2 linked regions of the Pelodiscus sinensis genome follow. The protein of the gene in region 1 interacts with the protein of each later gene in a pairwise test. Links are inferred from orthologs where the notes say so. Each region holds a gene or a part of one and is shown on either strand. Other genes may lie near its edges.

Region 1 (12,597 bases):
TCACTAATGAAGGTACATAGTCAGCCTTCTCAATAACTAAAGGAAAACATATTTTCTCTTAAAAGACAAATTTCAACTTTGGGATGAAATGCAAATAAACCTGCCTATGAGCTAAATAGAAAGGGATCTATAAACAAGAAAATGTTTTTCAATGCAAAATCTAGGATTGAATATTACTCACAAAGTTCTTTCTACATCCTGAGATGATCTTATTGGAGAATGGCTTAAAAAAAAAGCCTCACAAACCAAATTACAGAAATAATCCAAACACCTCCAAAGTAAGGAAGATATTTAAATAGTCAGAACTTACCCATCCACAAGGAGAACAGGCAAAAAGGTACTGCGTAAACACAGAATTTCCCAGCTTGCTGTTTCATAGTTGCTGAAGTGTATAGTTACTTTGTCCTTCCCTGTCCCTCAGTTTGTATGGACAAAAACATCTCTCTCTCTCTCTCTCTCTCTCTCTCTGTTGTTGCAACAGGATTTTGCATTCTACTCAATGAAAGTCACACTTTCTAAAGTTACTACAGCTTCAAGTTCACAGCATGATACCTGAATGACTGCCACATTTTAACTCGTTATAGTGGCTTCCCTGCCATCAGAATGCAGAGAGGACAACAACTATTCTCTTTGGGTACATCTACACAGCAACGTGCATTTCTAAATAACTTAGTCCGTGCCTACACAGAAGGCAGTTATTTTGAAATAAGGTCGAAATACTGTCAAGCTGGAGAACTTCTTACTCTGACTCCTGTAACCCTCATTGCATGAAGAGTAAGGGAAGTCAGAGGAAGAGTGCTCTATTTTGAAATAAGTGCTGTGTAGATGCTCCCAATTTCGAAATAAGCTATTTTGAAATAAGCGACACAAGTTACGTAGCTCAATTTGCGTAGCTTATTTTGAGTTAAGCCCTGCTGTGTAGATGCACCCTTTATTGCTTTGGACTTGTATATAGCAGCACCAGAACCTGGAGCTGATGACTGGCTATTCAACAGAAGGGTCCCTTTCTATGAAGCCCCATATGGAAGTGAAAAAGAACCATAGGCTGGATTTTCTCAGTGGCTGGGCCTTAGTTCCTATCGATTCCATTGGGAGTTGTGGATAGTCAGTGCTTCTGAAAATCTGGCCATATGTGCTATGTGTGGGATGAAAATATCTCCCCTCCCCCCCACAAGTATTTTTTTGAGGGTAGTAGAAATCCTGATTAACCAAATGTTGGTTAATGCCAACCCATGTTAACAGAAGCTTGGTTATGGGTTATATCCCTGAGGGATGGGAAAGGGGGCTGAAAATAGCAGACCTGTCTGCAGAATTGACAAAGGTACTATTTTGTTGTTTGTGGAAAGTAAAGCCGGGCTCGCACATAGGAACAGGTCCAACACTATTTTACAGGAAGAATTTCAGCAGCCAGCTTCACATGCTGCAACAGCTCACTCAGTACCCAGTCATCCTGCTGACAGTATTACAGCTGCATGGTGGACACACCACACCAGCTGCCTGCCTGGCATCTCTTCCCTGAGCTCTGGATTGGTGACCTGCCTTCAGATTTCTTGACGCCTACTGGCTCTCTTTCCTATGCCCACGGTGAACGGAAGATTTTGGCTGTTCCTCCTTTAAATAACTGGGAATGTGCTCTTATAGTCTGGTGAAGATCTTGTGATATTTGGTGTGTTTCTTAAAGGCACAGCTCCTGGAGTCATGTGATTATGAGAGCGCTCAGCTTTCACTTAAAAAAAAATTGCAGCCTGATTGGTTGGGAAGAAAAGCTTGAAAACATCAAAGCTAGCAGTTCAAAGCCCAGAAGGCAAATCAAAAGAAGGCAGATTATATTTTTAAATCAATCCCATGATTTTTGAATGCTTCATATTAGCCATACTGGCATTGACTTGTTTGCTCCAGCAGCTGGATGGAGACGCAACTCACAGAGATTGTTATCGTGTTGAGCAATGTGTCACTGGATGACTGCCAGAGCACTGCCGTTTATGGCCCATATGCTTTCCACAGCAAAGGCCTCAAATAGCCTCCCTGGAAAGCAGAAAGAGAAGTAGATTTCTCTGGCTGGAGCACATGGAGGCTTCGCTGTCCCAGGACAGGCAGTGCTGCCAAGTTTGAGGAGAAAAAAATGAGTTTGGATGAGCAGGGCTCTGCTGGAAGAGGGGATGTGGGGGAGGACCCCAAGGGGAGGGAGTAGAAAAGGTTGAGTTATGTTGGCAGAGGAGGCTCGTGGAGGAGGGCAGGGGAAAGAGGCTGTATTGAGAGGCTGAAGATGGGGGTGCAGGCTGTGCCGTGTGGGTCAGTTAAAGCGAGGTAAGTACAAGTGTAACCCTTTTGACACTGCTGGTCTACACAAATAGCCAAGGAAACAAAATGGCTGCCAAGCATGGCGGAGGACGGAACCCAGAGTGGTTACTAAGGCTGCTAGAGGGAGCCATGTGAGTGCACCAGCTGTTTGTGGGGAGCCGATAGGAGCAGCCCTGCGGAGAGATGGCATCACAGGTGGGAAACTTGTGTTCTGGCAAGAGAGACCTTTGGGGCCAAGATTGAAGCTGGAGGGAATGGAACCTGCCAAGTCTCCTTTGAGCCCCCCACTAGGTAACATTGCTGCATGGTTGTTGCCTCCCTTAGGCCAGGATGGGGATTGGGGACCTCAGGGCAAAGGAGTTGTGGAGGAGAAGACCCACAGCACCTGCTATTCACCACCCTATCAAATCCCAGTCGCCCTGACCCCTTACATGCCATACCACCCATAACTACACACTGGCCTCACCCTATGATTGTATCCCATGCCTCCCCAGTCTACTCCATCAGCAGGACCATCCCACCGCAAATAACTAGATGCTTGATATATTGTTTTCCTCCCCACACAATTTAAGGAATCCCTGACCCCCCTGCAGCTTGTCCTCACTGATCCACTAGTCACTGAGTCTACGTTTACACTGCAATACTATTTTGAGATACCGGAGTATCCTGAAATAGCTATCCCACACCTTCACAGAAAGCCTGTTATTTCAGGCTCACTATTCCGATGGCTCTGTAAACCTCATTCTACAAGAAGTAAGGGATGTACAGAGCCAAATGGCGAAATAAGCTATTTCAAAATAACATCAAAATCAGATACACAATTTGTGTAGCTCAAATTGCATATCTTATTTCGAGTTATGGTGCAGTGTAGTCACACCCTCAGGTGGAAATTTTCTTCCTTGTCACACTGCTCAATTTGGGTATGTCTACACTAGGGGACAAAGTCGAATTAAGATTCGCAACTTCAGCTACTTTAATTGTGTAGCTGAAGTCGAAGTAACTTAACTTGGCTTTTGGAGCTGTCTACGCTGCAGGAAGTTGAAGGAAGAACACTTCCTTTCACTTCCCTTACTCCTCATGAAATGAGGGTTACAGGAGTTGGAGTAGGAAGCCTGTTATTTCGAAATTATTTCAAAATAACAGGCTTGCTGTATAACCGCGCACTGTGTTATTTGGAAATAACCTGAGTTATTCTGAAATAAAGCAGCTGTGTAGACATGCCCTTTGTGTTTATAATGTAGGGATCTGAAAGCACAAGTTTGTAGGCATGTATTTTCAAATGTGCCCACTAATGCTGTGTCCCTCTCTTTGTGGGCATCCAACTTGAAACTCCCCTGGACTGATTTTCAGAGGTGCTGGGCATTCATTGCACTCCAATAGAAATCAGTTGAAATTGTCTCCAGAAAGGTCCCCAAAACTGAGGCTATGTGTAGACTACACCGATCTATTGGAAAAAGATACACAAATTGCACTCCGAATTTTCATATCTTTTTCCAACAGTTTTTTTGGAAGAGGTTTTTCTGAAATTTGGCCCATCTACACTGGAAAAGCCTCCTCTTTCGGAATAGCCCTTCAAATTTTTGGAAAAGCCTCCTCTTTTGGAAGAGCCCTTCTTTCTTGTGGGGGAGGAAGACATGACTTCCAAAAGAGCACGTCTGTTCTTCTGCAAAAAAAAAAAAAAAAAGCGGAAGAGCAGACGCATTATTCCCTGGACGCAGTGGAGTTTTTCCAGGATAGGTCCAATATCCCAGAAAAACCCTATAGTGTAGACATAGCCTGAGTATATACAATTATGGTAAATTTTGGCCTTTATTGATAAAAATACTGACTAGACACACCTATATTAAGAATATGGGTTAATACTAACACACACATTCAGCTGGAAATGAAAGTACTAAAAATCTGACCTACTTTTCATCTGCTGTTCATGTTCTTTGTTTATTTTACTCAGCTCAGACAGTGAGAAAAGGCTGGATTTTCTTTTTTAATTCTTTTACATATATTATAACTTTTAATAATAAATGAGACAAACAATTAACTATGTTTTGTCCAGCACCTAGCACAATGGTGCTCCTAAATGCTACTGCAATACACACTATACATAAAGACAATAATGAAAATTAATAGCCACCTGATTCTAGGGGATGTCTTCAGGCATAAAAGAGAGAGAGAAGTGTGTTTGTGTGTTTCTTTACTTTCATAGGTAAAGTACATATACATCAATTGCCAAATGATCTACTTGAGAGAGTCTCTATTTTTACTAGACACACACCAAGTATGATAGAGATACATGACATTTTAAAGACATTTAAACAAGTCCATCCTGCTCCTATTGAAGTTTGTAGCAAAATAACAAACATATAGTGCTTCAGAGGGGTAGCCGAGTTAGTCTGTAACAGGAAAAACTTAAAAAACAACAAATAGTCTAGTAGCACCTTGAAGACTAACAAAACATCAAGGTTTTGTCTACACTGGCGCAATCTTGCTCCAGAAATATGCAAATGAGGCTAAGCGTGGAATATCGCCGAGCCTCATTTGCATATGTAATGAGCCGCCATTTTGCGGAAGAGGCTCTTGTGCAAGAAGGAGTGTGTATACTGCCCCTTTTTGCGCAAGAAAAACCCTCTTGCGCAATGCCATTACACTGATTATTTTCAGGAATAACGGCATTGCGCAAGAGGGTTTTTCTTGCGCAAGAAGGGGCAGTGTACCACGCTCCTTCTTGCGCAAGAGCCTCTTCTGCAAAAATGGTGGCTCATGAGATATTCAAATGAGGCTCGGCAATATTCCATGCTTAGCCTCGTTTGCATATTTCTGGTGCAAGATCGCGCCAGTGTAGACAGTCATAGATGGTATCGTGAGCTTTTGTGGGCACATCTGAAGAAGTGGGTTGTGGCCTGCAGCCCACTCCAGTGCTCTTTCCACTAGCCCATGCTGCTTCCCAAAAGTGGACATGATCACGGCTTGAGGCAGCACAATTCCAAAACTCCATTTGCTTTCTGTGGGAGCAGTGTTGGGCCCTAAATGAGATCACAGTAATAGATGACAGACAAAGGCTGGGGAACATGAGAAGACTGGGGGTTAAAATACACCAACCAGTATGAGAAATGCTTTGTACAAGTCTTGTTGGTTGCTTCACTATTTTATTTATTTTGGCTATGTTATGAATATATTTACAGCTTGAGGGTATAAAATCAGGCAGGAGTGGTAACGAAATTATTCCCGGACCAACATTACTCAACCAATGAGCTCATGGCTCGAGGTGATATTTAAAGAAGAATGTGCTTGCGTGGGGCCAGCTTTACTAGTGAGCTCAGCAGCCCATTTGGTGTACGAAACCTATTGAGCTCTTTTGAAAATCTAACCATAAGCATCACTTTGTGAGCGGCTGGGTGCTGGGAATGTCTGAACATTTGGCCCCATTAGTCAGAGCTCAGGTGAAACTACCCCTCCCCCCAAAGTGCACCGGAGCATGAAGAATATTCCACAAATAAGGGGCAGTGTGAGAAAGGACAGAGAGTAAGAGAAAGAGACCAGGGGAAGAAGATGCATTAATCTGGTAGAGCATAGGGTGCAAGGGAAATCTGTTGTAGACATAACCAAAAGCTGTAAAGCATACATGATTTATCAAAACATTTACAGAATAAGATATCTCATGAGGATTGCTCCCTCAGAGAACACACCTTCAGCATGTGTATAAGCTTGTATGAGCTTGAATCTAAAACCCATTTAACCCAGTCATGATTGTTCTTTTAATTACACTCATCTCCATGTACTACAATTATTTCACCTTCTTGTTCCCTGTACTGGTAAAGTTCTGTTTCCAACATTCAACGGTGACATTAAAATCCAGTTTTGTTTTCACAGATTTTTTTAATGAACTGAAAATGTTTCTGGTTCTATTAAGTTTTTTTTTCCTCCTGTCAACATGCTGGTGCTACATTACTTTTTAAACATTGTTACATCACATTTTTTTCTCCCTGAAGGCAGGTTTTCTCTCTTTCCCCTCTAGGTGGCTCTGTGAAGTAGCATTAAAACATTTTAAACTACAGTAGTCCATTCATGTAATATCAGACGGATGGACTACACAACATAAAACACCTAAAATCACCCATATTTATACAGGATTTTTCATTCAGAAGAACAGGTCCCCAGGTCCTTTTTAAACTGCTAGGGATGAGTTCATTACATACCACTGAATCAACACGAAAATTAAAAACATCTAGTTCTCAAACACTACAGAAGTTGGAGTTGAGGATTATTTGTATGGATTTTATATGATCTGGGTTTAAATTTAATTGCAGAGTTGATAGTGGAAGAAAATAGAAATCATGTTTGAAGGTGTAGCAGTAGAATTATAGCCCAGAATTCATTCTTCCCATGAAAATATTTATGTGGCTGGGAAGTGGACAATCCAGTCAGGATCCCCTCATGGAGTTTTCCTTGGGTTGTTCTTCTGGAGGTAGAGGCTGTAGTTATAGGGTCCCTTCCAGATTCCCAGGAGAGCAGGTCCTTCTCTGCTAGAAGCTTTGTTACTCTGCGCCAGCTCTAGGTTACCCCAATGTCCCTTTGGAAACAGGCTGTCACTGTCCAAGGGACACACCTTTAAAAGGGAGGGGGCTTTCCACCAGTACAAAAACCATCCCAGAAGATTTAAGGCATCCTCATGCTGCATTAGTGCTCATCTTGCTTCTCTTTGGGATAGTGAGGAAACTATGTGCATCTCTCATGGTCTCCTCTCACGACATTCCTTTGACTAGTCTTGGCAGACTTTCTTCCAGCTGCAGATCCCTCTCTCTGCAAAGTAGGCTTTGTGGGGTTAGATGGGAAAAGTGTGAGGAAGGCAACCAACATCTTCCTTTGGGCCAGGAACCAAAGGGAGGGGCTCATACTCACACTCATAGGATACAAGAATCTGTAGGTGAGATGTGAGTTATTTTTCAGACAGTGAACAAAACTTTGGATGGCTCTGCATACAAAATTAAACATGCTAACGAAGGCAGTAGCAAGTAGCTGTAAATGGAGCTCTAAACCAGGCCCTGACCTTCATTCAGCTGGCTAGCTTCGTATTCCTTTTCATTAGCCAGCTTGTTCTCCATAGCAGTTAGATATCAGCTAACTCTGAGTGTCAGGTTTACTCCCTTTGTATGTAGAAGCCTTTCTCCAGTCTTCTGATTGTTGCTGGCCCTTTAAATTACAGAGAAGGCAGCAGCTGCAGCCCTATGGTGCTCATTTTAGAGGCAATCAGCTTGCAGGTTGCATCTCCCTCTTCTCTCTATGGTAAGCATTTGGTTCTTCTTTCTTAATTTTTGCTTTCTAGTTTTGCTAAGGGCTTGCTCCTTTCAGGGGTGGCTGTTAAGCCACTTGGCTTTACAGAGAGAGGTTTAATGGTCTCCTCACAGTGTGTATGTGAGACCTTATGCTTAACTAGTTTGTTTGTGTCATCAGAAGTCCTGTACTGCCAGCTGCTAGACTATTGTTCCCTTGCAAGCTAGCTATCCAATAACAGCTGTTAAAGCAACAAGCTAGGCCATACTGTGACTAGAGAAGTAGTGTCGCTTGCACCCCCTCATCTCTGCTATCGGTGAGGGTTGTTCAGCTAGGGTTGTCTATCTTCACTCAAGGTTCTGCTGGGAGGACTCCTTTGCTTGTTCCCTTACTGCTCCTGGATTTTGGGTGAGGGAAGAGTAGCAAGTCAACTTGCTTTCTGTGCTTCATCTTACATATACAGTCAGTGTCTTCAGGGGAATGGGCTGCCTGTTCCTCTCCCGCCCTTTGGCAGCAACATTCAAAACTTGACTTTGCCTTGCAAGCTAGAGCTGTGCTCCCACAGCCCTGTTCTGTTAAGGGGTCCCTAGATCCTGGTGGTTTTATGCTGCATCTTTGCTTATGCTGCTGTGTCACTGAGGGTAGCATTTGTACAAATCTAGGACAGGCAATGGAGCAGGAATCCAAAAGGAATATTCCACATTCCTTTTGCAGGTGTCTATAAAATGTGGATTTTAAGTATTTTTTTTAATGAGAGTTTAGCTGTGCTGGTGAAAGGCATCAGAAGGAAGGAAGTCTTGGAAGCTGTAATATTTTATCTCCACAGCATGCAGCACGGGCAGTGGTGATGCCTGCATCCCCATTATGGGTCTCTGTTCTGCAGGGACTGTTTTGGTAGATGGCTCTCCTGGCTTTGTGGAGTCTGCCAATGTTAAGTTTTTTCTTCCTGCCTACTAGAAACTGCCTGACAACCTGTCTGCTCCTTTCTTATAGCCACCAACCATATATCAGATGGTAACCAGTTTTGGCCACTAATGATCTGGGCCAAATTCTAAACCACAGCTTCTTCGTGTTGATCTGTCTCTTGGCCTTTCTTCCTGCCTCTCCAACATTGGATTTTTTTTAAGCTAGCAGTCTTGCAAGCTGTCCTTTGACAGACTCCACGGTAATGAATACACACAAAGGAGCTGAATTAAGATTGCTGCAACAACCCCTTAATTGATAAGAAAATACAGGCTCCTCCAATTACACTACCAAGTTTTTGGGGGTGATGCGTAGACAATAGCAGTGATGATCCCTGGCTGTTTAAAATTAAGGGGTGCACATGTGGGACATTTTGAGAAAACACTTCTCACCCGCCTCGAGCCTCTCATTACATCTCATCAGGGAGGTGAGAGCATCTCAGCTTTCTCTCTCCCACGATGGAAGCTGGCATCTACTGCTCTGTGACCCAGGTGTCCTTATTATTGGAGGGCACACAGCAGCTGCCCTGGTTGCCGAGTGTTCCCCCTGTTCAGTCTCATTGGAACAGGAGCGCTCCTGCAATTGTCACTTTGCCTTCTCTGCTTGAGCTCAAGAGCCCTGAACATGAGTGCTTCCCCTCACAGCAGTCAAAGAGTAAGGAGTGCTCCGGTGACTGGTGCCATGCTAATCCGTATGAACCCCCAGCAGAGAGGCGGTAAGGTGTGGAGCAGTGAGTTTTCCCTCCCCCCGGACAGGGAGCTGATGAGCAGATCGAGATTCCTTAATCACGGTGACCCCATTTGTCAAAAATGGGATAGTGCAGGAGTGGCCAAAATACGGCTGCATGTGGCTCTCTGATAGTTAAAGTTCTGCCCATAGACCTTCCTAATGATGTTAAATTGGGTTTGATCAGCTAATCTAGTAGTTGATGGAATTTCCATTGACTACTTGATAAGGGGGAAACTGCAGAAACACATACACATCGCCCACACACGTTGCCTCTAGCTTCTGCAGTGGGGAGGTGAATTTGGGGCTTCAGCCCTGTAGAGCAATCCTGCCACACCTTTGGAGCAAGGCTGAAGCCCTGAGCCATGACCCTGGATGTCCTGGTTCTCAAACTTCTGAAGACTGTCACATTCAGTTTGGAGAGTCAGTACGTTTGGCCATGCCTGAGGTAATGTTTTTACAGGGCATTATTGGCTATTACAAGCAATGTGGTTAAGTGATTAGGGGCCTAGACTGGGACTAGGGAGAACTGAGTTTTATACCTGGCTTTGCCACTGATCTGTTGGGAAAGTCACTTTGCCTCTCTGTCTCAGTTTTCCCCATCTGTGAATAGTGCTAATGCTATTGATTGCCTTTGTAAAATATGTGAGATCTACTGATGAAAAATTCTACATAAGAGTATTAGTAATAATATAATTTGGCATTTCTGAAGTGCTGTGTTTAGGTAGATGTGTATGGACAGTAGGGATGTGAACCAGTAAGTATCATCCTTGCCAGGTGATGCTTACCAGTTATGGTAACTGGAGAGGATTGGAGCAGCCTCTCGCCTGCTACAAGCAGGGTGCCCTTCTAACTCTGTGGGACCCTCCATGGGGGGGTTTTAGTCCAGCACTGGCATGCTGGGAGCAGCCCCTGTCCACGGTGTGGGCCCCCATCCACTTCTGTTTAATCAGTTAATCATAATGTTTAACCTGTTAACTAATGAAATGGGATTTTACATCCCTAAGACAGTGAGTAATTATAATTGGATCAGAAAACCAGAACTTCTCCCTCTTTTTTTTTTTTTTTTTTTTTTTTTTTGATTAAGGATTCCTTTGTAGTTTAGTTTTTAATAATTTGGTTTGAGTTTATGGCTTTCATGGTGGTTAAGATAACAACTGTCTTTTGACTGTTTGCAGAACACTGATGTTCAGGTTGAGGGACATTTGGAAATAAAACCTTAATGCTTATCACATAATTGACACTGAGAAATTGTTATTCATTAGTTAAGAATCAGTAAGTGGGAGGTGTTTCTCATAATTTCCCCTGTTAAATGTAGCCATGTAAGGTTTTATTATGAATCCTGCAAATTGATTAACCACCTTTTATTCCAACAACTTTCCCCTCCATTACAAAATAACATGCTTTGCTTGCTTGCTCGGTTCACAGGAAATCCATGAAGTGGATCATGGTCTCATCCGCCAGTTGTTTGCAGATTCAGAGGAGACTCTTGGTGCCTGTACCGAGAAAATGCAGGCCCCTGCTCCATATAACTGGAGTGCTGACTGGAGCTTTTGGGTAACTCGGTTGTTTTTTCTCTTAAATTCATTGTTACAGATTCCAAGGCCCAGAGGGACTGTTTTGAACATCTAGTCTGCCCTCCTGTCTAACACAGGCCATAGAATTGCCCCAAATGAAAAGCAGATCTTTTAGGAAAAACATCCAGTCTTGATTTTAAAATGGTCATTGATGGAGAATCCACCAAGATTCTTAATAAATTATTCCAATGAGTTAATTACCATTGTGATGGGTTAGATCACAGAAGTCCCCTTGGAGTTGTCCCCCGGTGTGCTGATCATGCTACTGGTGCCCACCTTCCTGCCCTCTTAGGCTCCCCCTAGCCAAGTCACAGAGTTGGGGTTACCACCCTTCTGCAGAGCAACACAGATGCTGAACCCATTCAGCTCTGGGAGGGCTCAGCACACAGGAAACCATCCTCAAATGGAACCTAGGCCCCAAACAAATCCATCTTACTGTGTGAATGAAAGAGAAATATGCACAGTGGTTGTTCTTCCTCTCCCCCCTTTCCAGGTAACAGTTATTTACATTGGGCTTGATAATAAATAAAAGCATTTTTATTAAGTACAAAGAGTAGGATTTAAGTAGTTGAAAGTGAAAAGAGACAGATTATAGTAAGTTACTAAATCAAAATGAATATAAAACACTTTTAGCTAGTTCTAATCCACTAAGAAACTTGTTACATGCAAATTCTTACCCTGAACAGTTGTTCCAAACATCTCATTCACTGTCTAAGCAGCCTACTAACTTAGGCTCGATTCTTCCCCTGTTCAGTCTTAGATGTTTCCAGCAGGCATCTTATGTGGTAAGAAGGGGGAGAGGGAATCTCATGACATCTAGCAATTGCCTCTATTCTTTGTTGTTTCCTCCCACCCTCCTTTATATACATTTTGCCCAAGGTGGGAACTCTTTGTGCTCAGTTCAAACTTTTCTCACCTTGCGTGGAAAGGCACCAGATCCAAAATGGGTTTCAGCTCATGTGGCCTGGCCACATGTCTTTCTACGACCAACCACAGTTTGAGCTTACAGGACAAACAAGACTATTCACAGGTTGTTGATTTGATCACTGAGCCATTAATTGTCTGAAGCATCCATAATGGCTCTCCTTAGCATATTTAAAAAGATAAATAGGAGCCACACTTTATAGTTCTAAGTTCACATACAAGAATGACACACGCACAAAAATACAATGTACACATTCAGCAGATTGTAACATCAACATTGATATGTTGTATGAGGTATTTTGTCTAAGGTGTCTTTGAGTTATACCAATATTCATATTCATGAGCCAATTTTCATTAAGCACTGGGGTCGGGACAGTACCGTGACAATGCTCACTGTTCAAAATGGAGGCCTTATTTATAAATATGTACTATTAGTGCTTTTTATGCAAATTTCTTTGTAGCCTTTAATTAAAAGCTTCCCAGCCTGTTCTGTGAGGTAAGTAACTTGTTACTGCTTCGCTGTAGGGTAAATGGAGATATAAGGAGGTGCTATGCCTATGCTAGTATCTAGTCAGTGGTAGGTCTGGATATAGAACCCAAGAGTCCTGATTCCCAGTTCCCTGATTGGGTAAGCTGTACCTTCTCTCTGTTTTCTGCTCATAAAAATGGATTGCTGCCACTTTTTCTCCAGTAAAGACCGAATTTCAGTCACTGAGGGTATGTCTAGACTACATGCATCTGTCGGCAGAGGCATGTAAAATAGGCTACCCGACATAGTCAATGAAGGGGGGATTTAAATACCCCGGCTTCATTAAAATAAAAATGGCCGCCGCGCTGT
Region 2 (11,731 bases), on another chromosome or scaffold:
GCCCCTCCCCACAGCAGTGGCTATTGACAAAGAAAGAGGGAAGGGACTGGGGAACGAACCCCTTCTCAGCCCATCTGCTGTAATGGAAAAGCCTCCCTTCCCAGGTGGGTGAGTAAAGAGCTCTGCAAGGTTCTGACCACAACTAGCCAAGCGCTTTGTGTCTGAATAGACCTACATATGACGTGTCTGGCTAGTATGGATGTGGGGTGGGAAGGGATTGGCTTGTGGGGGAGGGAATAAGACAGATCCTCTACAGGAAGAGCCTAACTCCTCAGCTTTGTTGTCCCTGCCAATTACCCCTGTTCCCTTAGTCACATGGGACTGTTTCCAGCAGAGGGAAAGGCCCTCAAGGTACAAACTTCACAACCTAGTTGGGTTCCTCTGAAGGTCAATGGTGCTGGGAATAGGAGGGAGGGGCAGCTCTCTTCTGCAAGGAACAGCAATACTTGTTCCTTCACGTACAGGAGCCAGCTTTGGACACCAGAACTGCTCTAATGAAAACTGTCGAGGACCATTGCCTTCTAATGTCCTGCCTGCCTTGACCTAGGCTCTCCTCTAGTACACCAGATACATGGAATGGGTACCATTCTGTACACCCTCTTCCTCATTTCCAAGGTGGAATGTAATTGTAACTATGCTGCTATATTGTCCTGTGGCCAGTCATTTTGTCACTAAGTGTGTTGGGAAGCTGGTTCGTTCTTACAGGGGCTTCTGTGTGGCTTAAGATGTGCACTCCCAGCCTCCTGTGTCAATGCAACTTTGGGTGACTGATCATTGTTCTTCTAGCCTATTGACAGAATGTCTGGACACAGCAAGAAGAAGGCGAAGTCCTGGCCTTTGAGATCCCAGTCAAAGAGGGCCGGCTTGCAGTTCCCTGTGAGCCGTGTCTACCGGTACCTGAAGAAGGGGCACTTTGCAATGAGAATAAGCCCCAGTGCTGCCGTCTATTTGGCCTCCGTGCTAGAGTACCTGACTGCCGAAGTGCTGGAGGCAGCCGGGTACGTGACTCAGGCAAAGAGATCCCACCGCATCGTGCCAAGGCACATCCTGCTGGGCATTAAGAGTGATGATGAACTGAACAAGCTGGTCAACCATGTGACTATTCCGCAAGGAGGTGTCCTGCCCCGGATTGAGAAGCTGCTTCTGACCCAAAAAACCAACAAGAAGCCTGCGCGTGGAAAGAGAGCAGCCCCCTGCTAGTTCCCTTCCTGCTGAGCCTTGTAAGGAGAAGTGGGACCTGGCTCTCAAAGACTGGATTTCTGTGCTCGAGGCTTCATTTGGTTTGTGTATTGCTGCTAAAGGGTATTTATTCACACTGGTGGTTTGTACGTGCTTTGTATGAAATACAGATTTATTGGACTACCTGGCTCTTATGATTTTGTTTTAGACTCAGACTTTAAGGTCAGAAGGGACCATTATGATCATCTAGTCTGACCCACTACACAGTGCAGGCCACAGAATCTCACCCACCCCTCCCAGAATAATCCTCTCACCTATATCTCAGATATTGAAGCCTTCAAATACTTTGAAGACCCCCCCAAGATGCAGAGAATCCTCTAGCTGTGATCTGTACCCCATGCTACAGAGGAAGGTGAAAAACCTCCAGGGCCTCTGCCATATTTGGGGTCAGGAAGGAATTTTCCTCCAGGGTAGATTGCCAATCAGCTAAACCCTGAGCATGTGGGCAAGACTCATCAGCCAGACACCCAGAAAGTTCTCTATAGTAACTCCTATCATCCCTCCATTGACCTATTCCCACTGATAATGAATGGTCAATTAGTTACCAAGATCATGTTCTCATCAAACCATCCCCTTCATAAACCCATCTAGTTTAATCTTGAAGCCAGATAGATCTTTTGCCCCCACTTCTTCCCTTGGAAGGCCATTCCAGAACTTCACTCTAATGGTTAGAAACCTTCATCTAATCTCAAGTCTAAACTTCCTACTAGCCAGCTTATATCCATTTGTTCTTGTGTCCACATTGGTATTAAGCTTAAATAATCCCTCTAATATATTAAAGTGCAATCATGTCCCCCTTCAGCCTTCTTTTGGTTAAGGTAAACAAGCCAAGCTCCTTGAGTCTCCTTTTATAAGACAGGTTTTCCATTCCTCGGATCATCCTAGTGGCCCTTCTTTGTACCTGTTCAAGTTTGAATTCATCCTTCTTTAACATGGAGACCAGAACTGCACACAGTATTCCAAATGGGGTCTCACCAATGCCTTGTATAATGGCACTAACACCTCCTTATCCCTACTGGAAATACCTCGCCTAATACATCCCAAGGCTATATTAGCCTTTTTCACAGCCATGTCACAATGGCGGCTCATAGTCCTTCTATAGTCAACCAGGACTCCGAGGTCCTTCTCCTCCTCCGTTACTTCCAACTGATGTGTCCCCAGCTTATAACTAAAATTCTTGTTGTTAATCCCTAAATGCATAACCTTACACTTCTCACTATTAAATTTCATCCTACTGCTATCACTCCAATTTACAAGATCATCCAGATCTTCCTGTATGATATCCCGATACTTTTCTGAATTGGCAATAGCTCCCACCTTTGTGTCATCTGCAAATTTTATTAGGACACTTCCACTTGTGGTGCCAAGATCAGTAATAAAAAGATTAAATAAAATTGGCCCCAAAACTGATCGCTGAGGAACTCCACTAGTAACCTTCCTCCAACCCGACAGTTCACAACCAGAGGCTCCCAGCTGGGAGGTGGGGCCGCGACTGGCACTGGGAGCCTCTGGTAGCATGCAGAAGCTGGGCAGGGGGAGTGCCTGCCTTTTGCATGCAACCACAGGGCTCCCAGTGCCAATCATGGCCCCGCCTCCCAGTCACTCCCCTGCTCCCACCATGCTTCCCTCTGGCGCTCTGCCAGAAATTCAGAAAATACTGGACATTGCACATGTCTGGTATCTTCTGAATTTTTCTACCAGACAGAGGGTGCAAATACTGGACTGTTTGGTAGAAAACCAGACACCTGGCAACCTATATGATTGAGAGGAAAAATGATCCCTTTGATCTGGTCTAGTAGTGCCTTAGCAACAGGAGATCTGGCTTCAGTCCTAACTCTGACACAGACTTCACTGTTATCTTGAACAAGTCATTTAGGCCCAATCCTCAACGGTGTGTAGGCTCCTCCCTCCCTCAAGGCTCTGGACTTTAATCTCCACCTTAGTTCTTCCCCTATGAATGGGGATTATTCTTGGATGAGTGCATTATACAACAGGGCCCTAATGTCAATGGAGCCTTCAGATGCTACATAATACAACCAATAATAGGGTCTGGAGAAAGGGACGCTCTTGCTGAAAATAGTTATTTCCACAATGCTACAGCAGAAGGGTGGGGAGAGGGCCCCTCCTGCCGCAAGGCACGCAGAGGACGGAAATGCCTTCATGTGAGAAGAGTGGGTGGTCTTTCCCCATCTGCTAGTGCCAGAAATGAGCCCTGAGCAAGGCTCCCCCAAACCTAGGGGAGAGGAATGCCTCAATTGACCCAGAATGAGGCAAATGTTGTAAAATGAACCATCTGGCCACTGCCTTAGGAGTCTGGTGTGAGGCTGTAGGTTGACTCCTCACTGGAGCTTGTCCCAAGTATGTGCAGGTGTATTGCTACTACCTGTTCAGTCTGCTGTACCCATTGTTGTCCCCAAACAGGAGGAGATCTGACCCTACCCAGGCACTGAAACATCAACATGCTCCTCTTTTTCCAGCTGGGCCGAGGATAGCCACTCTTTCATGGGTGGCAGGTATGTTAGGTGGAGGAAGGCACTGCCTTCCCTAACCACCAGCCTGGCCCCACCCACACTCTGCCTACTGGGGCTGCATGTCCTCTTCTCTCCCTGTGCTCCAGGAGCCTCTGTCTGTGTGGAGCCTCATCTTCCTCTGATACTGAGGGGGGAGGGCCTGGGCAGAAGGGGTGGGAGTGTGGGGGCAGGGGAGGGCTTGCCTCCCTGAGCCTTTACCTTCACCCACCACCCATGCACACTCCCCTTCTCCATTTCATGGTCACTTCTGCTCCGGCTCTACACTCAAACACCCTCCCAGAGTGCACTTTGCCGTCTCTATACTCTTGCCCCATCCCTTGCTCTCCTTCCAACAGAGTACAGATCAAGCAGAGAGAGGTTCTTTTCCTCTTGCCCCATACACACTGATTCCAATAGGCTGAACAGGAAGGGGACTCTCCCTGATTCAGGAAAAGGGGTGGGTGGGTGTGGAAGCTGGCTCCCTGAAGCCAGGAAGAGGACAAGGTGCTCTGCTTCAGCTCCCCTTCCCCAACACACTCTAAGAGCAGTTTTCTCTCTAACACCTGCCACACATACTTAAAATCTGCCTCTTCCTTCCTCGTCATCACCTCTTTCTTCCATTTTATAGCCCCTTTCTCATAACCTCAGGTCAACTGTAATATGAACTTATTCTCCTCTTTACTGGGAAGAGGGTGCCTCTGTTTTGATTGAGGTGAATATTTATGTATGAGGGGGCTGCCCCATAGATATAGCTGCAAAGAAATCCCCCTTCCCCTCCCCCCACACTCCTCTACAAACAAAAGAATATGAGCCTTGAAAGTGTGGCACATCTAGTCCTCTCATTTACTAATTTCAGCGGGGTAGTGGTGTTAGTCTGAATCTGCAAAAGTGACGAGGAGTCCTGTGGCACCTCATAGACTAACAGATTTATTGGAGCATAAGCTTTTGTGGGATAAGACCCACAAAGATTCCACTACATGCATCTAAGTGGGTCATATCCCACGAAAGCTTATACTCCAAGAAATCTGTTAGTCTATGAGGTGCCACAGGATTCCTTGTCATTTACTATTGCTTCCTGAGTTGGACAAGAGTTTTCCTTTGTTCCAGTTCCTTATATAGAGGCATATCCTAATTCTGAGATATTTAGGCTAACCCGTATGGGAAAATAATGGAGGGATGAGGCAACCTACCAGTCTGACATGGCTTCTAGTCTGCCATGTAGAAATCTCATTAGTGAATGTGTCTCAAACAAAAAAGTATATTTCCTGCTGGAGCCTCTAGAAGGGCACAACCTCTGGCTGGGCACTATTTTGCCATGTGATGCAAAGGGGGATGGTGCTGTAACTTGTGTGTATGACACCCCCGCTCAAGCATTCCAAAATCATTCTTTAGCTCCCCCCAAAACCAGGCATGCCTCTTAAAAATCATGAAATTGTATTTTGCTTGCTTGGTCTTCTGGTGTTTAGCCTTTAGGGCACACTTGCATTAACTCTTCAAGGTTTTCTGAGTAACCAAGAAAGCTAGAAGATTACCTCTATTTATTTCTAAATGAAAGGTGAGAGTCTCATGGAATCCTATGATTCCAGGAGTTGGGGCTTTAAGAAAAACATCAAATAGCACAATAACATACAGGAAGTTGTTGGCCATTAGCCTGAGAAGGGGGTAATTACAGCAGGACCTCCTGACCCAAAAATGTGTGGGGAGTGACAATCCCTTGGAGAAGCACAGCTACTGTGGAAGATAGAGGTAACTAGCATTGTAAAAATTATTTCTCTGTAATCTTTGGGAGACTTGGCAGCTCTGTTCTTGTCTCATCCAAGTGGTGGTGGGAAGGAGGTTAGTGAACAGATAAACACAGTTGTCTTTTAAAACCACAAAAAATACCCATCAATTTTAGGGTCCTCAGGCTCATGACTTTTTAAGCTCCTGCACATAGGAGCATATGGGTTTTTATCAGGGTTCAGAAACTCTTCTGAAATGCTGAATAGGGTGATGCCCATTGATGGCAGTTTGTGTTAAAAATCTCAGCCTAAATCAGTGGTTTTCAAACTATGGGTCATACTGGGTGGTGGAATACCAAGCCCTGGGTCATTTTGCTGTAAGGTAACCAGAGGAGGTAGACTAAGGCAGGCTTCCTGCCTCTCCCAGCACTGAGGACCACGTTGCGGCCAGGAACAGTTTGGGCACAGGAGTCAAAGAAATCAAGTGGGGATGGGGAGCAGGGCATAGAGCCCCTTGCACACCTCCACCTAGGAGCTGGACCTGCTGCTGGCCACTTCCAGGGCACAGTGCATACCATCATGCCAGGACAGGCAGGAAACCTGCCTTAGCATGACCGCTGCATGGAATCCACCAGAATTAAGCCCTTGTCCAAGTCCAGAGCCCCCTCCTGCATCCTTCAGCCCTGCCCTAGAGCCTGCACTCTAGTCAAAAGAAGTAATTGTGGTGGGTGATGGGCACCAGGGCCCGACGGAGGCATGGGTGAGCTGGGCAGCTGCCCGGGGCGCCAACCGATGACGGGTGCCTGATGGCAGCTGTAAGGGGCACATGGCATCCCTTACAGCTGCCATCAGGTGTTGCGCGCGCCTGGCTCCCGTAGCACCCTTCCCCCCATGGCTGCAGGTCCCTGCACGGCCCAGCGCACGCGCAAGGCAGGGCCGGGCTGGGCAGCTCGTGCGGCCTGGGGGCAGGCCCCGGGCTGTGCGCCAGCAGCCGTAGCGGGCATGCGCATGCGCCGTGCGTCCGGGGGCAGGCCTGCGCACCCTAGGGGGGCAGGCCTGTGCCACACAGGTGGGCCCGCGCGTGCGCCGTGCGCCATGGGGCAGCGCCGCACTCCTGGGCCAAGGGCGCCAAAAGGGCTCGAGCCAGCCCTGATGGGCACTGACAATTTTCTTCAACTGGTTCATGAGACAGAAGTTTGAAAGCCACTGGCCTAAATGTTCCCCCTCTTTATCTTGTCCTGCCCCCTTCAATCTCTCCCTCTCCCCCAGATGTTTGGAAAGTTAAGTCTGAGCCCAAAGGCGCCACTGAGGAATGTGGCAGGAAAGTGTGGGGAGGTAAGTACCTACATGCATCTGTACGCAACACAATCCAAAACAAATATTTCATTGTACACCTGATTTTTCTTGAGCTTTCTAAGTGGCTCATAACTTCCAGAGCCCAGCTGGCCTTGGCTTTTCTCCTTGAGTAAAAAATCAAACCGACTCAGTTTCAACCAATCCAAACAGAACCAGGGTGTGGGGCTGTCGGTCTGGGGAGCCACGGGGCTGCGGGCAGTGTTGTAGGCGGCCCAGGCGGGGGAGGTTATAGCGTTTATTGGACCAATTCTCCGGTTTACTCAGGGCGCCCCTTTGCCCGCTAGGCGTCTCCGGGTGAGCGGCGAGGCGGCTTCGCGCTGGTTCAAACCGTGTGGCGCAGCAGCTGCGGGAGCGGGCACTGGGAGGGGTCTGTAGCCGCGGCTGCAGAGCGCAGGGCTCGCTGCCTGTTTCCACTGCCGCAGGAGGGGCGGACTCGCTCGCCTGCTACCGTCGCGTGGGGCTCGGCGCGCCGGGAGAAGGTAAAGGGAGGCGCTCGGGGGCTCTGCCCGCCCGGCAGCAGCGCCCAATGGTCACAGCAGGACGCGGGGAGGGGGAGCGCGGCGCACCTGAAACAGCAGCAGGGAGAACAAAGGCAGCGCTCTGCCTGCAGCCTGCTCGTCCGGCGGCCGGGTGGTGCTGGGGACTGGACGCTCCCGGGCGCGGCCCCTAGGCTAGCGGGGGTGGGGGGAGAGCAGCGCCTTCCCCTGCCTGCTTCCTTGCCGCCCCAGATGCGCCTTGTTTACATAGGGCGGCTCAACTCTTCCCGCAGAGTCCTCGCCTCGCAAAGTGTCTGGGCTCCCTGCTTGCAGGGCGGTTTCCATTTGCACCTGAAACCGGGACGGTCCCAAGCTGGGGGGCGGCGCAAAAACAACGTTTTACACCCCCCCCCCCCCCCCCTCCTCCAGCACTTTGGGAAGGAGCAGCCAGTGACAGGAGAGTGTCCCCCTCCCCAAGAGCGGAACAAATCCCAGCTCCCTGGGGCAGTGCCCTGGCCTCCGCTTGAAGGCCACGAATTTCCATGCGGCCGAGATGGCCCGTGAGAATACTCTCCCCCTTCAGTGTATCTAGTACAGTCTGAGGCTTAAAGCGACTCAGGGGCTTGTCCAAGAGGGTATATGCTGTCTGGGATCCGCTGGAGCGCTGTGTTCACAAGTCATTGCTCCTCCCCACTGGGAGTCCTGGTTCTGCAATTAAGTTTGTTGCACTTTCTTATAACAGGACTATGTAACATGACTTCCTCTGATGCTAGGAAATCTGCAGAGGCTGTTTATAGCACAGGATTCTGGATAGTCTCTTAACTTTGTTGAGTAAAGCTTCTCCTCCCCCCCCCCATCTGCTTTGTTCAAGGCTACCCTTCTGTATAAATAAGTTTTGGCCTTTTGGGTTAAATATTAATTGGTGAAATCTTTGGAAGGTGGGAGAGAGAGAGGCAGGCCAGAGAGCACATTTACTAGGAAATCCACTCAAGTGTTGTTCTCCATGTGTTGCTGTTTTGCGTCTCCGTTTTCCCTGCCTCCCAGTTTGAAAGTGATTGGAGCTGTGTGACTGTAGCACCACATGCAGAGCATTCGCCAGCAGCCTTTGCTTCATGGCATCGAGTGGAAAGGCTAGATCGCCATTAGGGTGTCGTGATCAAAGAAACCCTTGAGAATGAATCCACCCCTTTGCAACAGCTTGTTGGTAGTGAGGAGCATATTTAACAGAGAAATCCTCTGGATGCCCCATTAAAAACCTTGTCACTTATCTTATCTTCTCCTCCTCACCCCATCTGCTTTCTTGCCCTGGGGTTTCACAAAGTGCTAGCCTTTCCTATGGATCAAGGGTTTGGATAAAGGTTTCCGAGGTGGCAGCCATTTTGCTGAAAAGTTATTTCCTACAAGCCAGCCATTTGGGATCCCTGGGTGGTTTTTGCAGTCCATGATGGGTTTACAATGGTTTAGGTTCTGATGGAGGCTTCTAGCGTGACAGTCTCGTTAACATGCAGGCCAAAGGTTCTCTCCGTTGGTTAACTCAACATGAAGATGGAACAGAAAGGTCTTCCCCCATCACTAAAAATGGTTGTTCTGAAGAGGCTCGGAAAAGCCGCTTCTGAGTTAAAACCTCAGCTTCTGGGTATTAGTTTGCTGTGAAGATAGGAAGACCATACCTGTCCCAGAGGGGTTTTTACAACCCCAAGCACTTAGTTTGCCTTTGGGCCTAGGGATGTAAAAAAGAATTTAAATAGTTAACTGGCTAAATGGCTAAAATTTTAACATTTAACTGGTTTCTCCGCCTGTCCGTTGCTCTGATACGGCTGGGGTGGGGGGAGTGGTCCTGAGGCCTGCCAAGACTGGTAAGAATTGGAGCTGGCCAGGGCCAGAAAATCACCTGCCTGCTCTGTGTGGCTGAGGCCAGGACATCACTGGGACGTGGCTGGAACACCAGAGTCCCACTGGGATGCAGCCAGGGTCAGGATGCTCCTGGGGCCGGGATGCTATGCTGAGTCGGAGCAGCTGGGGTACTGACAGCCACCTCCATGCCGGCAGGCTCCCCACAGCTGATGTAGACGCATCTCTGCCTACCCTCCCCTCATAGTAGGCTGGATTAAGCCAGGGCTGCTCCAGCCTGCTGTGGTTCATTGTGAAACTGGTTATGCAATGAGCATTCCGGTAAACCTAATGCTTACCAGGTAACCAGTTAACCTTTAACATCCCTACTTTGGGCTTCCGTAATGCTGCTGTTGTGATCCTGCCTCTTGTCATACACTAGGAAGAGTGGAGTTCAGGGAGAAACAGGTGCAACCTTTGTGTTCCATGGCTGATCTGTTACTCGGTCTAACAAAGGTAGTAAGTTTTCTTGGACTTTAATCTGTGTTTTAGGTAACACAGGCTGCCAAATGTCACATCTGTGTTTGTACATTGCCTAGCTCAACGGGACTGCATTGTTGGGTGGCAGTTTTAGACACTACTGGGAGAAACATGATTAACAAACCTAGTGCCTCCGGCAGTAAAGGGAATTGTTTGTTTCTATTCTGGGAGTGAATGTTACTGAGCCCAACTGTGATGACAGACAACTCTGTGACCAGAAGAGATAAGTTGCTTTTTGAGATCTGCAGCTTCTGACCCATAAAGCCCCTCTTACACTACATTTTCCCTCAGCGGTTTCAATGCTCTTTACTGCCTGACCCGAACCTGTTGTGCATTATTTGCGGCAGCTTGCTAAACAGCTTCTGTTCTCTAGCTGGCTGCTTTACGGTTCTGGCTCCAGTAGTCCATGTCTTCCTGTGTTTTACATCTTTAAAGGCAATAGTCCAAAAGTGCCTATTTAGATCAGTATTCCAGAGACTTCCCACTCTCTCCCGTGATTTGGTACAAGAGTCTTGCAGCCCTGCAGTAATTTTGAGAGAAGTTTTGAGACGTTTTCTATTGAGTTCTGCATTCTCTCACTGCTGCTCTCCTGAGTTCAGTTGCATCCCCCAGCCCTCTTTGCCAGCTTCTGGGTGGGCAGCAAGATGTCCCTTTCCCTAGGTATCGAGAGTTTCCTCAGACAGTGAGTAGGGGTTTCATAAGTGCTTCTCCAATAGGTGGTTTTATCTCTGTGCATCTGGTATAGAGGGAGCAGAGCACTGATTAGGGAGCTCATCCTAACAGGAAAATTGGCTTGAGTGCACCCTGCCCTGGAGGCTTTTGGGGATGAAAGTAACCATCTTGTGGGCATCTTGTGCTGAGCGTTTGTATGGCACTTGCCATCCTCAAAGCACTCTGCAAACATGTAAGCCTTCTGATGTTCCTGCCAGTTAGGGAAGTATTGTTTCAGTTTTATGGATAAGGAAACTGAGGCACATGAAGTAACATGCCTAACGCTGCTGCAAAGTCAGTCTTAGAGCTACGGCGAGAACAACTCAATGACTGTTTTCTAGAGCTGAGCTCGGGGCACATCTCTGACATCAGTATCATGGAAAATAAGAGGGGGAAGCACTCAGAGAAAGGCCCTGTGCGGTGGCAGGGGGTGGTTGTGTTGCAGTCTCATGAAACCAGTCTTTTTCACTCAGAGTGCAGCGTGAGACTGTGCAGGGAGAACTGGGCCTATCTGTTCTTGCTGATCAAATACAGTAGCTGTGGTGATGACTTTTGCTCTAGGACAGTCTCAGTGTTAATCTGTAGCTGCAAAACCAAAGAAGAGTCCCATGGCACCTTAGAGTAGAGATGTGAAAGTTTAACCGGTAAGCATCACCCTAACCCTTAACTAGAACCCGTACACATCACCAATTAACCGGTGGGGGCTTGAGCAGCTGCCACAGGCAAGGAGCTACTCCAGTCCTTTGGTGCCTGCTGCAAACGAACAGTTCTGACAGGCAGAGGGGACCACTCCAGCCCAGCGGCAGGCTGAAGTGGCCCCCACCACTCTTTTAATTGGTTAACTGGGTAACCAATTAAACGGGATTTTACATCCCTACATTAGAGAGTAACAGATTTATTAGGACATAAGTTTTCATGGGTAACATCCACTTCATCAGATGAATTGGAGTGAAAGCAGGGGTATATACAAGGAAGAAGTTGCTTGTATTAATGAAGTGAGGGTGGAGGCGGATCAGTCACAGCAGTTGATGTGGAGATGTGAATATCCAGAGAGGGGAAATTGTCTTTGTAATGTGTTACCCAGTTAAGATCCTTATTCAGTCCTAAGCTGATAGTGTTGCATTTGCGAATGAATTCCAGTTCAGCTGTCTCCTACAAAAATTGGTTACAAAGGAAAGGCTGTTTTCAAACCCGTTATTGAATATCAAAGCAGGTTAAAATGTTTCCCTGCAGATTTATGTGTGTGGCCATTTCTGACCAAGCCTAATAAATGGAGCAACTCCTACTTTACAGCATGGCCATGCTTTCCCTCTGCCCCTGTCCATGCCCTTTTGGGAGGCTAGTGTCT

The links.
Region 2: the proteins of GRAMD1C (region 1) and CD151 interact in binary tests that used the Homo sapiens proteins (3 or more experiments, as listed by UniProt). The link is inferred for Pelodiscus sinensis from reciprocal best matches to the Homo sapiens genes GRAMD1C and CD151.

The regions. Positions count from the first base shown.
Region 1 is NC_134711.1:147,726,795-147,739,391, reverse strand, and holds the start of GRAMD1C (protein Aster-C), read left to right. Parts: upstream 1-7,489; 5' UTR 7,490-7,578; coding exon 7,579-7,581; intron 7,582-10,686; coding exon 10,687-10,815; intron 10,816-12,597. Other genes in the region: uncharacterized protein LOC102459989, read right to left, coding at 311-377. UniProt on the Homo sapiens protein: Cholesterol transporter that mediates non-vesicular transport of cholesterol from the plasma membrane (PM) to the endoplasmic reticulum (ER).
Region 2 is NC_134714.1:120,079,254-120,090,984, reverse strand, and holds the start of CD151 (CD151 antigen), read left to right. Parts: upstream 1-7,126; 5' UTR 7,127-7,305; intron 7,306-11,731. Other genes in the region: late histone H2A.1-like, read left to right, coding at 799-1,200. UniProt on the Homo sapiens protein: Structural component of specialized membrane microdomains known as tetraspanin-enriched microdomains (TERMs), which act as platforms for receptor clustering and signaling.